Linked DNA regions of Nothobranchius furzeri. The protein of the gene in region 3 interacts with the protein of the main gene of each other region in a pairwise test. Links are inferred from orthologs where the notes say so. Each region holds a gene or a part of one and is shown on either strand. Other genes may lie near its edges.

What was found.
Region 1: the proteins of tmem79b (region 3) and sarcolipin interact in binary tests that used the Homo sapiens proteins (3 or more experiments, as listed by UniProt). The two-hybrid records come from large-scale screens. The link is inferred for Nothobranchius furzeri from reciprocal best matches to the Homo sapiens genes TMEM79 and SLN.
Region 2: the proteins of tmem79b (region 3) and rprma interact in binary tests that used the Homo sapiens proteins (3 or more experiments, as listed by UniProt). The two-hybrid records come from large-scale screens. The link is inferred for Nothobranchius furzeri from reciprocal best matches to the Homo sapiens genes TMEM79 and RPRM.

Annotation. Positions count from the first base shown.
Region 1 is NC_091753.1:35,536,069-35,539,955, reverse strand, and holds sarcolipin, read right to left. Parts: upstream 2,036-3,887; 5' UTR 1,798-2,035; intron 1,673-1,797; 5' UTR 1,600-1,672; coding exon 1,504-1,599; 3' UTR 1,190-1,503; downstream 1-1,189. Other genes in the region: kbtbd3 (kelch repeat and BTB domain-containing protein 3), read left to right, coding at 382-507. UniProt on the Homo sapiens protein: Reversibly inhibits the activity of ATP2A1/SERCA1 and ATP2A2/SERCA2 in sarcoplasmic reticulum by decreasing the apparent affinity of the ATPase for Ca(2+). Also inhibits the activity of ATP2A3/SERCA3.
Region 2 is NC_091754.1:18,399,727-18,404,341, forward strand, and holds rprma (protein reprimo A), read right to left. Parts: upstream 2,625-4,615; 5' UTR 2,369-2,624; coding exon 2,060-2,368; 3' UTR 1,190-2,059; downstream 1-1,189. UniProt on the Homo sapiens protein: May be involved in the regulation of p53-dependent G2 arrest of the cell cycle. Seems to induce cell cycle arrest by inhibiting CDK1 activity and nuclear translocation of the CDC2 cyclin B1 complex.
Region 3 is NC_091745.1:66,341,146-66,346,350, reverse strand, and holds the start of tmem79b (transmembrane protein 79), read right to left. Parts: upstream 3,324-5,205; 5' UTR 3,157-3,323; intron 1-3,156.

The sequences.
Region 1 (3,887 bases), on a different chromosome or scaffold from region 3:
GTTTGTCCTTTTGGGCATGTGAAAGCACTTTATAAATAAAGTTGAATTTGAATTGGAATAAAAACCGGTTCATTTACAGGTGGGCTAGTGAGCAACTTTTAGAAATGATAAAAGGAACATAATCTGCAGTTTTAAAGATTTTAATAATTCTAAATTTCTCTTTCATTTGAAAAAAAAAAAAACAAAAGTCCCAAAACGTGTGCAAATTAAGCCAAACAAGGTCTGGATTTCCTGTATGAAATTTAGACTCCTAACCCTTTAAAAAGAATTTGCTGAAACTCTTGTGTTTAAATAAAAAATGTTTTTAATACATTGTTTTTCATCACCTGGTCATAAACTTTGATTGGGATTCACTTTTGTGTTTTCCTGTTACCTGTGCAGGTGTACTACAGTGGGAGGAGTCAGTGGGAGGAAATGTCGCCCATGCCCAGAGCACTCACTGAGTTCCACTGTCAGCTCATCAGCTTCAACAGATACAGAGACCCGTGGGGTGACACGGAGGGATAGACAAAACAGAATGCTGAAGCGGCACAAGTCTTCACTGACTTGCCGCGGTGGAGAGCTAACGCTAACAATCACAGCTCTAACAACATGCCTGCTTTCAGCTATCCTCCAAATAGCTCCTTATCTACACTTTATTTTAAATTTCAAATAAGTATAACTTGGAAGAAAAAAACAAAGCGTATTTGTGAAACTCCTGGTCTCATGTTGTGCTTTTGTGCCAATCTAAATGTCCCCTCCTATGGAGGAACCCTAAAATATTTTTGTCTTGTTATAATTCAGGTGGGAAATGTGCTCTTAGATGTAATGTGATGTGTAAAACTGTCAGCTGTCCTACAGCTAACATATAAAAGGATATTATTTTGTTTGAAATTGTGAAAAATCACATCAATCTTCAGCGTGTTCTCCCAATATGCACCATCTACATCTTATCTTTTAATCGGATTAAACTAGACGTGTCAGCTCATTCTGTTACATCGCCACTGGAGCCTTGTGGTGGTTAGTAAAACTCTGCTGTAAGTCAGAAAATCACACAAATAGAAGTTTTTATGGACAAAAAAGTGAAATAAAATAAAATATTTAACTGCATCCTGGTTTATGAGTAGATGCAGTATTTTTGTAACATTCACACAAACAGAAGGATCCACAGTTGCATGTATCTAAAGCTACATAAAAGACACTATCATTCAAGTGTTGCTTTGCCTGCATTTTACACAGATAAAGTCTCAAAAACTCTTTTATTTTTTATTTTATTTACACTCCAGACTTTTCCTTCCCATGGGCTCATGGCCACACATTCAAAAACCTTCTCCTAATAAAAATATAACTCCAAGACAAGCTGTCTTGGCTTTTAGGTAGTGTTTGATGTCTAAGGAAAGCTCCAGCTCTGGATCAAACCAAGAAAAACAGAAATGTAAACTCTGCATTGATACAACAATCAGCCAGCACCAAAGTCTCATTCGCTGGCTGCTCTTCATTCCTACATCTCTCCTGCTCCACGCCTCAGTCCTGGTATGTTTTCACCAGCAGCCACATGAGCAGCACCGTGATTAAAACGATCATGAAGTTGAGGAACAACTCCTGGGTCGAGCGGTCCATGGTGAATGAGAGGGAATGGGTGGCACTGGCGAAGTGGAGATGTGCGGCTCTGGTTTTGGACACTTTTCTAAAACTAGACAAAAAAAAAAAAAAAAGAACAGGAACAGTAAAATGTTTTGTTAGAAAGAAGATGGAAACTGTTAATGTACCCTAACACGAGCTGGAGAATATGAGGAGATCAAACTCCTGGACTCTTACCTTAACAATATGTGCAAGGGTGTCCCCCCAAGCAGGAAAAGAGGAGATCTTTACTCTTTGCTTCACAGAAGCCTCTCGTCTTCCCACTGGAAGCTTCTTCTCTCTGCTGGTTCTTCCTATCTCCTCACTCTTGTCCAGTTTTCTGCTTTTGTCAGAGGCAGGGCCCCTCCCCTCCTTCACATTGGACTGCCCAAGGCTCACGTACACACAGACTGATGTCACACTCCAACTAAACAACCATCGGAGTCTGTTATTTACCACAGTGTCATCCGCTGGAGTATTTTCCATCCACAACAGGTCTCCCTTTCCTCCCATAACAACAGAGAAGGGTTATTTTTACAACCTTGTTGCAGATACTTGGTGGATTACAGTCGTTCCAAACACAATATACTGATGGGTGTAGGAAACTCTAACTATCCCTCAGAATCAGGGAGGGGGCTATGCCCTGAGGACAGAATAATGGAGCAGCTACTCCAAAATAAAACATGCATCATCATTATCGATGTTAGAAACAGATGAAAATGGTTAATTCAGAGCAAATTTTTGCGAGCAAGAAAAATGTTTTAGTTGTCGGGAGGAAAAAGGAAAAGCTTTAAAACCCAAGATGGAGTGAGATTTATTAAAAACTTTAATCAAACTTGTGTCATCCTCCTGAATAAAACTGCATAACGATAACGAGTCTTTTGCACAAAAGGTGTTTTGGATCATATCACAAAATTTGCAGCCAAAATGGTGAAATTCCCTCATGTAATATTTTTGGAATCAAACTGAAAAGTTGTTTTGTTAATGAATTAATAAACTAAGTTTTTATTTTTTTTTACTAGAATTGAATAGTTTTCTCCCCCTACCATACGCGGATCAGGACTTTTTGCTGTATAAGTTCAAAGAAAACAGCTTTGACAGCTCCCAACAGCATACCCCTCAGCTCCTCTCACACTTGGCAGCTGCTAAGAACGGTGTTATCTCTGAACGAGTGTAAAGCCCTCGCGACATGCACACCTTCTCCTGCACTCAGAGGGAGCATGGCAGGACAAAGCATATGTACAGCTCCCTTGAACTTTTCCATCAAGGAATTCCAGGGTCATTCCCAAAGGATTTAAGGGATCAAAGTGGTTGCAATGCTATCTGGCTGTGGTGCCAGCCTCAGACCAATGGCTGCTGGACTCTGGGGTTCCCACTGTTGTTGTATATGTGGTGCCAAGGTTACTGAGTAACGCAAAGAAGGATGTGATTGTAGAGCGGACCATGTCTCACCCACGGCAGCTGTGGGTGTATTTAGGATGGACGTGCTCTGGCAGGGTTACCAACTAATTCAGCAGAGAGACACTGGGTGTCAACAAGGCCTCAGAGACACCATTCCAGTATCCGCGGGACGCAAAACGTACATGTGCTTGTGTAATGAACCACGGTATATCATGAAGTGACAGCTAGCGGATTGAAAGTTTCCACAAGGGAAGGAGAAAACATGACCTAAAAACAGAGGCCTAATTAAAACAGAACTATTGCACATTGGTCTAGTAATGCCATTATTTTGTTAACAGCCAGGATTCGTAGAGCTCATTCTACTGAAACAGCTCTTCTTAGGGTCTCTAATGAACTTCTGACTCACAGTGATGCAGGGGACTGTTCTGTTCTGGTCCTGCTGGACCTGACTGCAGCCTTTGACACTGTTGACCATCACCTGCTACTGGAGAGGCCGAGAGACTGGGTAGGCCGATCAGGAACTGCTCTGGGGTAGTTCCCCTATTGTCTGCCTGAGTGTTCCTTCTCTGTGGCCGTCTCCAAGTTTCAGTCCTCTACCACCTCCATCACCCATGGTGTCCCACAAGGTTCTGTGCTGGGGCCTCTGCGTTTCCTCCTCTATCTGATTCCTGGTCAAGTAGCATGTGACACACATGGGTGAAGATCAGCTTTAGACCCGTGATGTTTACTCTCATGGTGCGGGGGCTTATTTCCTGGTCTGCCCCGTTAAAAATACAATTGACGACTTTAGTTTTCAATAGCGCAGAACGGTTGGATTTAAAATGAGAACTTTAGTTGTCAATGACAGTTAATGAGTGAAATTAATCTTCTACCATCTTTATGCAGAT
Region 2 (4,615 bases), on a different chromosome or scaffold from region 3:
TTCATCCTAAAATGACAAACTGAAAAAAAAAACAGACGCAAGTTAATTAACAAAAAATGTTAACAAAATTAGAGCTATTTTAAAATGTCATGTTCTGTAGATTTAAACTAAGTATTTTACTTCTCGTGTCTGAATAAAAGCCTTAATAACAGTTATTAACATAACACAAGTTACTCAGTCTGAGCATTTCCTGCCTGAGAGCATTCTACTTCATGGTATGACGACTAAATCATATATGTGATGGCATGAAAGTGCAAGCTTCAGCAAATGTATTCAGTGTAAAATTCACTTTTTTGAACTTTATTTCACAAAAGAAGCTGAAGATGATTTAATGTGTCCAAAATCTTTCTGTCATAAATGTTTGAGGAGAAATTTTTGGACCTTAAGACTTTTTCTTTTTCTTTTTGACCATTTTATTTTGTATAATGCTGTGGTTTTGTGAACTGTACTCCATTACATCTTGCAGAATATTGTAGCTGAGTGCAACTTTTCTAATGTTTTTGGTTCCAGTCAACTAAAAATCAGGCATGCCGCCCTTGATTGCATTTTTCTTTTTCATATGTAATTATAGTTATAACAGATCGTTTCTGCCCTAAAAATGTGGCAGTCTAAGCAACTAACTAACAATTCACAATTTCACCATCTGTCTTTTTAAACATGTTCCTCCAATGACATCTGTTGTGGTTCAGAAGTCTTGTCCATACTTTTCCTGTCATGCTTGTGGACATCTGTAATGGGAGAGAATGACCTTTTGTCCAGCAGACGGCTCAGGAGGAGAGCCGGGCGAAGGACAGCTAGGAGACTGATTTTGTTTAACTTTGAGCAAAGCACAGGTGGCCAGCGAGGCAGCAGCATATTGCCCATGGCTTCTTCGTCTTCCTCTTCCTCTCTGCATTGACAGGGCAGGTGATTTCTGAAGCTCCAGGGGAGCTGGCAAACAGGTGAGCCAGAGGCAGACAGATGTTTTGACAGAAGGAGGAAGGATGTGAGATGCTGCATCACAATGTGACACAAGGAGATGAAAATAATGACAAAGATGTTTCATTTTTTTTTTGGACTTTTTTTTTTTTACCATTTTGATTTAAACAAACCCGCGCAGTCTGATATGACATATTGTTATTAAAAAGCAAGAACATTCTTACAAGTTTAGTAATCAGTGGCAACCCCAAGAAGTGCTCAGGGGGACAATGGCCACCTCACTGCCCCCTCCAGGGAAGACAAGCCCGCTAGCCCCATAATAAATGTAATTCATGTTCCTCAATACTCATACATTCAGTTTATTAACATAAATGTTAAAGCAAGTACACAACTTTCTTTTTTATTTTTTCTGAAATAAATTTGTGGAATTTTGTCTTTTTTCTGAAGCGTTTAAATTTCTCAAATTTGAGGTCAATGATTTAGGGAGATTTGGTAAATGTGTTGGATGCATAGGCCTTCAGCGCACAGCAGCAGACTAAACTTTACCCAGAGTTACCACAGGGACAAATGTGGTGTGCCACCCCAAGATATTCACTGGCCCCCCATGAAATTCTTTGGTGGCACCACTGTTAGAATAGCCTCACACTTTCACAAAAATGCCTTTTTTGTCATTATCATCATCCTTGTTCCTCATATTTCAAACACTTTGCGAAAAAGGGACCCACATTGTTTTAATTACAGAATGAAATTATTTATTTAAAGAAGGAAGAATGGATTTGGTCATTTTTACAATAAATCATTATTGAATGGCAAAAATACATATTCCACCTTTATTAGAGGTGCAGAAGGGCGCAGAAAGCAGCCAGTCAACCACATTCCCCACCAGCTGCTGCTTAACAAACGATGCAACTATTTTAAATGACGCGTCTGAATAAACGCGCTTTACCTCCTGCAGACCAAAGGATGTCTTTGTTTAAAAAGGCCACGAAAGCATAAGTGAACACTTCTAGCCCCAGTCAGGGTCCATCCACCTTTAAGTGCTTTTTATTTTTATAAAATGTCTAAACGTGAAAGCAGGGCTTCCTTGGTTGTTGATCACCGTGCGCTCTTCATCTGTACCGAAAATAAGCGTCCCCATCCCTCAGTAGGCTCCAACAATCACTGTCTCCGTTTCTTTTGAGGGTCTCCTGTCCATAACCAAAAAGTTGATCATCCCCTCTGACTTTATGAGCAGGTTGCAGCCCAAGAAGAAGATGCCAAACACCACCGTGAGGGACAGGACGCACATGACGGCGATCTGGACCACCCTCATGATGAAGAGGCTCCTCTCATCCGGTGCCGCGGCAACAAAGCCGTTGTCAGTCACCACGGAGGAGAAGTTGCAGCAGAAAAACTCTTCCGTCTTGTTAAACAGTCCACTCTCTGTCTGGTTCAACCCGGTGGTGTTCATCTCTACTTTTGCAAAAGAGAGAAAAATAAATCAAACTTTGAGCGCGCGGGGCCCAAAAAGCAGAGATGAGAGAGGTTGGATTATCATCAAGTGATGGTGAGGAGTTGAAGAAGTTCCTCTGGATCAAACAGAGCTCTCCCGGAGTCGGAAAAGACGCTTTGGCATCGCATCACTGGGGATTTCATGCGCTGCGCTGCCAGTTTCAGATCCAAATGAATGCACCGACCTCGCGGTTATATACCCAGACCGCCTCTGTTCAGGAGGAAACAGTAAGAGCGCCACCACACGGTAAGACCGCACATTGCAACTTCTGTGCAACGCATTGACATTTTGTGCAAAGCCTGTTTTGTAAAGTATTTGCAGCCTGCTGTGAATCAGCACGTGCACTCACACAGGAATCCATACTGACTCATCATTTCTACGGGGTCCCCGTTGGTCCTGCAGACAACTCAGCATGCATTTGCTTTCAGTTTGGTCTTTAAATTTATCTAGACAATGAGAAATAAAGGTATAAGTACCAAAGCGTCATGAAAAATCAATTTAATCATCAATAAATTGTAAAAACAAAACAAAACTACATTGTTGTGCACTCTCATAAGATTTTAAAATTTGATAAGCAAAATGTTTGTACTTGTGGGGACTCTGGTGTGACATATTTAAATTATTGCTGCAAAGAATAAACGTTAGAAGTAAAAAATAAAACAACGTTTAAAAACAGAAAAACAAGAAAACAGAAAAATAGTCAAACAATTACTGAAAATATAATAATTAATAAAAAATATAAAATTTGTTAATTATTTTTCTAGTGAATATTCTTAATCTGATATTTTTTATTTTGCAGTATATTTTGCCATTTTGCATTTAACAAAATATTTCAGATTTATTAAACTTACAGCCTTTTGCAGCTGTTCAAGTTCAAACAGAGTAATAAAAGTGTTACAGTAACAAACAGTCTTGAGCTGAGGGCTGTTCCACACCGACGCATGAGAGTTATATCTGCTGTTCTCATGTTTGGCAGCAGATGGCAGCATTGTTCAACTTGAGCCAGAATCAGAGAGGTGAGGTAAAAAAAAAATGAAGTCAGACCCCAATTCCATTTTTGGTTCTTTTTAAAACACAGGAAAGGTTTCTCTTTCAAAACACCCTCACAGTGTCAGCTCTGAGGGTGTTTTGCAGTTGGCAAACAAAACTGTCAGCAAGGTAAAGAGAAACTTGTGTTTTCAAAAGAACCAAAAATGGAATTTGAAGTCAAACACAGAAAGAAAGTACCAAAGATGAAGTCAGCGTCATTTTAACCGGGGACGCCGGGGACATGCAAAAGACCGCTTCAGTGGGAGGAAATCAACCAACATCCTTGAGTTTATCCGTCAAAATAAACAGTCAAATGGAAATATCTGTAACCTGCCATTTAACTGTTTTGCCTTCTTGTGAAGATTGTTGCAACGAGAAACAATTAAACTTGATTAACCCCAGAGCCACGCGCACTGCGCTGTAGTCCGTGACTGTAAATGAGGGGGAAACGATTTAATGGGATCCTTTTCTTTTCAACATGGTTTAATGTAAAGTTTCATTCAGTACAAACTTTAGTTACACCAATCTAACGAGACAGAGCCTGGATTTGTATTCTGAACAGTTTATAACATGTTTAAAACGGAGACGTGCGTGACGCGTCTAAAATTCGTACCTGCTCCGCTATTATGGAAATTAAACTAACAGGATGAATAACATGAAATTATTTTAGGCACAGACAACATCCCCCACACTTTTGAAAAGCTTGCAACGCGCCTGGTCGCTCGTGTACGTCAAAGTTATCTTTCATAAAAAGATAATCAATAAAACGATTAAATAAAGTGGATCCAGAAGCTGTAGCCAGTCTCTGCCTTCAATATTCACCCTATTGGTGGTTTTACTGAGCAGGTGCCACTTTTGTCATACGTTTCTTTTTAAAACATGTTTAGACTGTTCAGAATACAAATCCAGGCTCTGTCACGTTTGATTGTTGTAATTAAACTTTGTAGGTGGGGAAGGTCGGAAAGCAGCTCAGAAGCGCATGATTACGCACAAGCGTGACGCGTCAACCCGGTCTCACAGACCGGGTTGGACCTGTTCAGGTTTACGCAGACAATCTTTACATTTAGAATTGGCAGATGTAAAATTAATGCAGTAAAATATAAAGCATTTTATTTAAATATCCATTCATTATTTTACAAGCACCGAGAGCCGCATGCGGCTCCAGAGCCGCGGGTT
Region 3 (5,205 bases):
ATAACCTAACGACAAGCTGGATTAAATCTGTTGCATGTTCCACCTGCTGCAACGGTTCCTTTAGAATAAAAGCTGAACCATCACGACCCCCTTCAGGGTCTTGCTGATGCCAATAAACTGTTGTGACCTGGGAGTAACTCAAGACTGGAAGGGTCAGCAACCGCTGCATATCTACAGTCGTCGGTTCCAAGAGGGTCCAAGCTGGACCCCCGACATTCCAGATCTAAACGGGGACTTCCATTGGGGTACGTAGACTGACAGATGGCGTCTCAATGTGTGTTATAATCTCCAAACCAAAGCTTAGAGCGAAACACCATTTCACTCCCATCAGAACTAATCGTTTCTCTGGATTTGCTGGTTCTGAACATATTTCACACACAGACCAACCTCAGTCTTACTCCACCTTAGTTCATCATCACATAGTGTTTAAAGTTAGTCTTGTTTAAATTGTTTAGAAATAAATCTTTTAACTTTTTAAACCCGACTCTATTTCTTGGAGTTGATACGAAGTGTTGCTCAATCCCTGCAATAAAAAGATCCGATCTTATGGTTAAATGTACTCAAAGATCCATTAAGGTGATGTTTCATATTTTATGATATTTTACATTCTATGGTTTCTAATTAAATATAAGAACATCTTCTCTACAATAGTAATAGTAAGTTAAGATAATTATTGCACATGCTAATGAGAGTAGTAGTTATATTGCACGTTTTGAAAAGATGATATTTGCAGTGGAAGGTTACAGATGTTTGGCTTCTATTAGCAGTGACTATTATGGAGTCTAACAGCAGCAGGGAGGAAAGATCTGTGGTATCTCTCCTTCGTACAGCGAGGGTGGATCAGTCTGTTGCTGAAACTGCTCTCCAGAGCAGACAGGGTATCCTGCAGGGGGTGTGACTCATGGTCCAGGATGGATCTGAGTTTTGCCTGTACCCTCTTGTCCCCCACCTCTCGTACTGAGTCCAGAGGACAGCCCAGGACAGACCTGGACTTCTTTATCAGCCTGTCCAGCTTCTTTCTCTCCCTCTCTGTGATGCTGCTGCTCCAATACACCACACCATACAGGATTGCTGATGCCACCACAGAGTCGTAGAAGGGCTTCAGGAGTGTCCCCATCACCCCAAAAGACCGTAGTCTCCTCAGGAGGTGGAGCCTGCTCTGGCCCTTCCTTCCTGTCTGTGTTGTGAGACCTTCTACTCCAACCACTGGTCGGTAAGCAAACTGCAATGGATACGTCGAAGGTCCCACAGTAGACCGGAGGTGTCCCAGGATCAGTCTCTCCAGTGTCTTCATCAGGTGGGATGTGAGAGCCACCGGCCGGTAGCTACTGAGCTCATTAGCTTTTCGTGTCTTCGGCACTGGAACCACACAGGAGGTCTTCCAGAGCTGAGGTACCACCCTCAGCTTGAGGCTCAGGTTGAAGACATGCTCTATAACTCCACTCAGTTCATCTGCGCAGGATTTAAGGAGACTGGAGCTAATATTGTCAGGACCAGCAGCTTTTTTCGCTTTGATCTGCATCTGCTCTCTCGTCACCTGGCCTGTTGTAAAGGAGAGGAGTGGGCAGTGGGGCTCTGTACTGGGGAGGGGGCCGAGTCCTGGGGGATGCACGATGGTGCGAATGGAGGAGCCAGAGGTGTGAAGGGCTGTAGTTGTAGGGGGTCTTCCAGGTGTCGAGTTATTTGAATGAGGCTGTGTGGGGGAAGGGGTGGGTGCTTGGTCAAACCTATTGAAATACAGGTTTAGGTAGTTGGGCCACTTCAGGTCCCCCTCCCCCTGTGAGTGGGGTGTTTTGCTTCTCCATTTTCCTATTGTAGCTGGCCTCCCTAATCTTCCTCCTCAGCTCCTTCTGAACGGTTCTCAGCTACTCCTTGTCCCCAGATTTGAAGGCTCTCTTTTTCTCCTTTAAGAGAGTTTTGATGTTGGGGGTGATCCATGGTTTGGTGTTCGCGGAGCACCACACCGTCCTGGAGGGAACGGTGTTCTCAAAACAGAAGTTTATGTAGTCCGTGATGCAATCTGTGATGGCATTAATGTCTTCCCCATGTGGATCACAGAGATCTGTCCACACCGTGGTGTTGAAGCAGTCCTTGAGAACCTCCTCACACTCATCAGTCCACCTCCTCACTGTACGTGGGGCCACAACCTGCCTGTTTGGATTTCACCTAAAGCTTTTGAGTAACGTATAGGTAAGGCCTGGGACAATTATTCACAATTAAGAGTTTCCCCTGCATCTCTATGAACTTGACAAGCTCTTCACTGCTTTCTTGTCTTGCTTTGCAAGATAAAAAAAAAAATATATATATATATATATATATATATATATATATATATATATATATATATAGACTTTTGCACTTTTTGAGCAGGACCTGTTTCAATAAATTCCAGATGCAAAAGAAGTGCTGGAAATGCTCTATATTAAACTTTCATAAATCACAAACTGGATTAGGGTTAGTCAACCCAGTACACAGTCTCAGAATAATCTGTGGTTTTGAGCTGTCTGCTCTAATAAAGGATGGTTTCACCAACCACAAACTAAAATCTGGACACATTCTGCTAGAATCAGTTGAAATGGTTCTTTAGCCATTTTTCTAAATGGAAATTAGAAATAGAAAGAAACTTCAGCTCCATGAACTTTAGCTGCAACATAGGCTGTTTATTGTTGTTTTGAATAGGCCTACATTTACATATGAGGTATTTGTCTGCTCCTGCATCAGAAGCCATCAATATGTCACATTATGCTGAATTTATGAGTACCATGTTGGAATTGGTTAAACACTCCCGCGATTAATCGTGAATAAATACTAATATTTTCTTGACTGACCGCCCTAATCAAGTTTTATTTTGTTTTCGATAAAGATACCAGAGGCACTGTCAAAGACATCATGGCTTCCTGGGTTGTTGCTTTTTTTAACATCTATCTTGATTCTTTTAAAGAATTTTAAGACAGTGTTTACAATCTGACGTCATTGGGGACACGCGATCACCTGGAATCACCTGTTGACCAGAGACGAGCTAACATGCTAACATCATGGAAAGCGTCACAAACAAACACATCTGGGTCCAGTACCTGGTTCTGGTCCTCGGTCCTTCTTTCTCCAGTTTTATTTAAGGTTCTTGTTTTGTTTTTTTTCCTGGACCTGAGTTCTCACCTCTAACTTCTGCCACCTGGAAATTCTGTTGTGAAATTTTGCGGAAGTCAACGTCAGGTGTGGTCTCTCAGGTAAATAAGAAAGCCTGCTTAAAGGGCCAGTATTGGTTAAATGCCTGCCGACAGAAAATCCTCCCAGGTGATCAGAAAGCCTCTGAAAAGCAAACAGCGTTTATTGAAACTGAGCATTATTATTGTCCCTCAGTGGGGAAATGTTTCAGTCTTCCATTCTGAGCAGGATGGATGTTCAATAAATTCCTTAATTACGCAGAAAAATCTTTAGTTTCGTTTAGTTTAGTTTAAAGCTTTCAAACGTGTAAAAAGGACAAAATAAGCAAACATTTTCACACATAATTGAAAGATGCAACTAAAAAAATAATAAAATGGAGAAATCATAACTTTGAATAAAATAATAAATTTCCATGTCTGAAAAGGAGAAGATGGAAGTAAAACATGACCCACCCCTTCCTTTTAAGTTAATGTCATTTACTAATTGGGCTTCCAATCATAATCGAATACTATCAATCTCAACAATACTCTTCACATATCATACAATCATAGCCAAGAGCTTCACAACAATATCTAACCTATAAAAAATTATTAAATAAACAATATTCACCTACTGACCATGAAAAAAAATGCACTGTTTCTTAAACTCACTAATATTCAGACATTCCCCGAGCATCCACTTCAAACATTTTCATAATTTAACCACAAACCCAAATACAAACACTTGATAATGAGGACAAACAGCCATTTTTACCGCAGTTTTGCTCAAAAACATCAGTTCAGTCCTTGTGATCCACTCGCTGTTTACCTCCTCTTTCCCTCCTCAGCTGTGGGAGCTCTGTGAAGCTGACCCCCGTCAGCTTCAAAAGTGCAGGCAAATAGGCTGCTCGATTAACTACAGGGGTGAGGAGGACTAATGCAAACAAATGGGAATTACAAGGGAGGAGGAAAACATGAGGAAAGCCTAGAGGGAGCTGGGGAACACAAGAAGACACATGAGGAGAACCTGAGGGAGAACAGGAGGGGGCTGGGGACCAAGGGGACACAGAACATGACACATTCACCTGGAAAACCAGAAATTAGTTTTTAAACTCTAAAGAAAATTTTGAACAGGACATAGCGGAGAAACGACAGACTCTAAATGATGTGAAGAAATGTTTAAAAGCTGAAAACATTCATCTGGAGAACCAGAAATCAGAGTTTGAGCAGAAAAAGACAGAATTACAGCATTAGATTAGATAGACAATTTCTGCTCAAAGAGGAATTAAATATTCAACTTCTCAGAGAGAATCTGCAGGAAGAGAAAAGGGAGTTTATTAAAGCAGTAGAAGAAGCTAAAAGTGATTTCAATGAAAGTCTAATTTAAATGAGAGTTTAAAATGTATGATCATTGCGAGTCTGTGTGTGTATGTGTTTGTGGGGGGTGCAGTGTGTGCGTGCGTGCATGTGGCAAGGACGGGGAGCGCGAAGGATCAAGCCTGGGGTACCAAATTCGGTAGAGTCAGCCCTGGTGTTACCTGACACCTGATGATAGGCCCTAGGTAGGCGGCCTTGGGGATCAACCCAGCGGCATGATGACTGAACTTTTCGGAACTGATCTGCTCTGGGTGGCTGCATGTTGGAGTAGCTCTGTTGACGATATGTAAGTTTTGTCTTTTCTTGGACATTTTTTCTTCAAAGTTTCTCAAGAAAAACGTTTTTTTTTTTTGACATTTTACTTTTCTGTTTCTGGTGCTGTGAAGCTTGGAGGATTTTTTTCTGCAATTGTTTTGCTTTTTTCACTTTTTGAGCATTTGTTATGATGCGTAACCATGGCAACAAGCTGGTTTACAGCTGATTAACATTGGAAAGGCTGAAATAATACCTCAACCGAAGCCACCAGAGGTGGAAAGTAACGAATTACATTTACTCACGTTACTGTAATTGAGTAGTTTTTTTTGTTTATTTATACTTTTCAAGTTGTTTTTAAAATCTGTACATTTACTTTTACTTCAATTCAATTCAAAAATACTTTATTAATCCCAGAGGGAAATTGATTGCT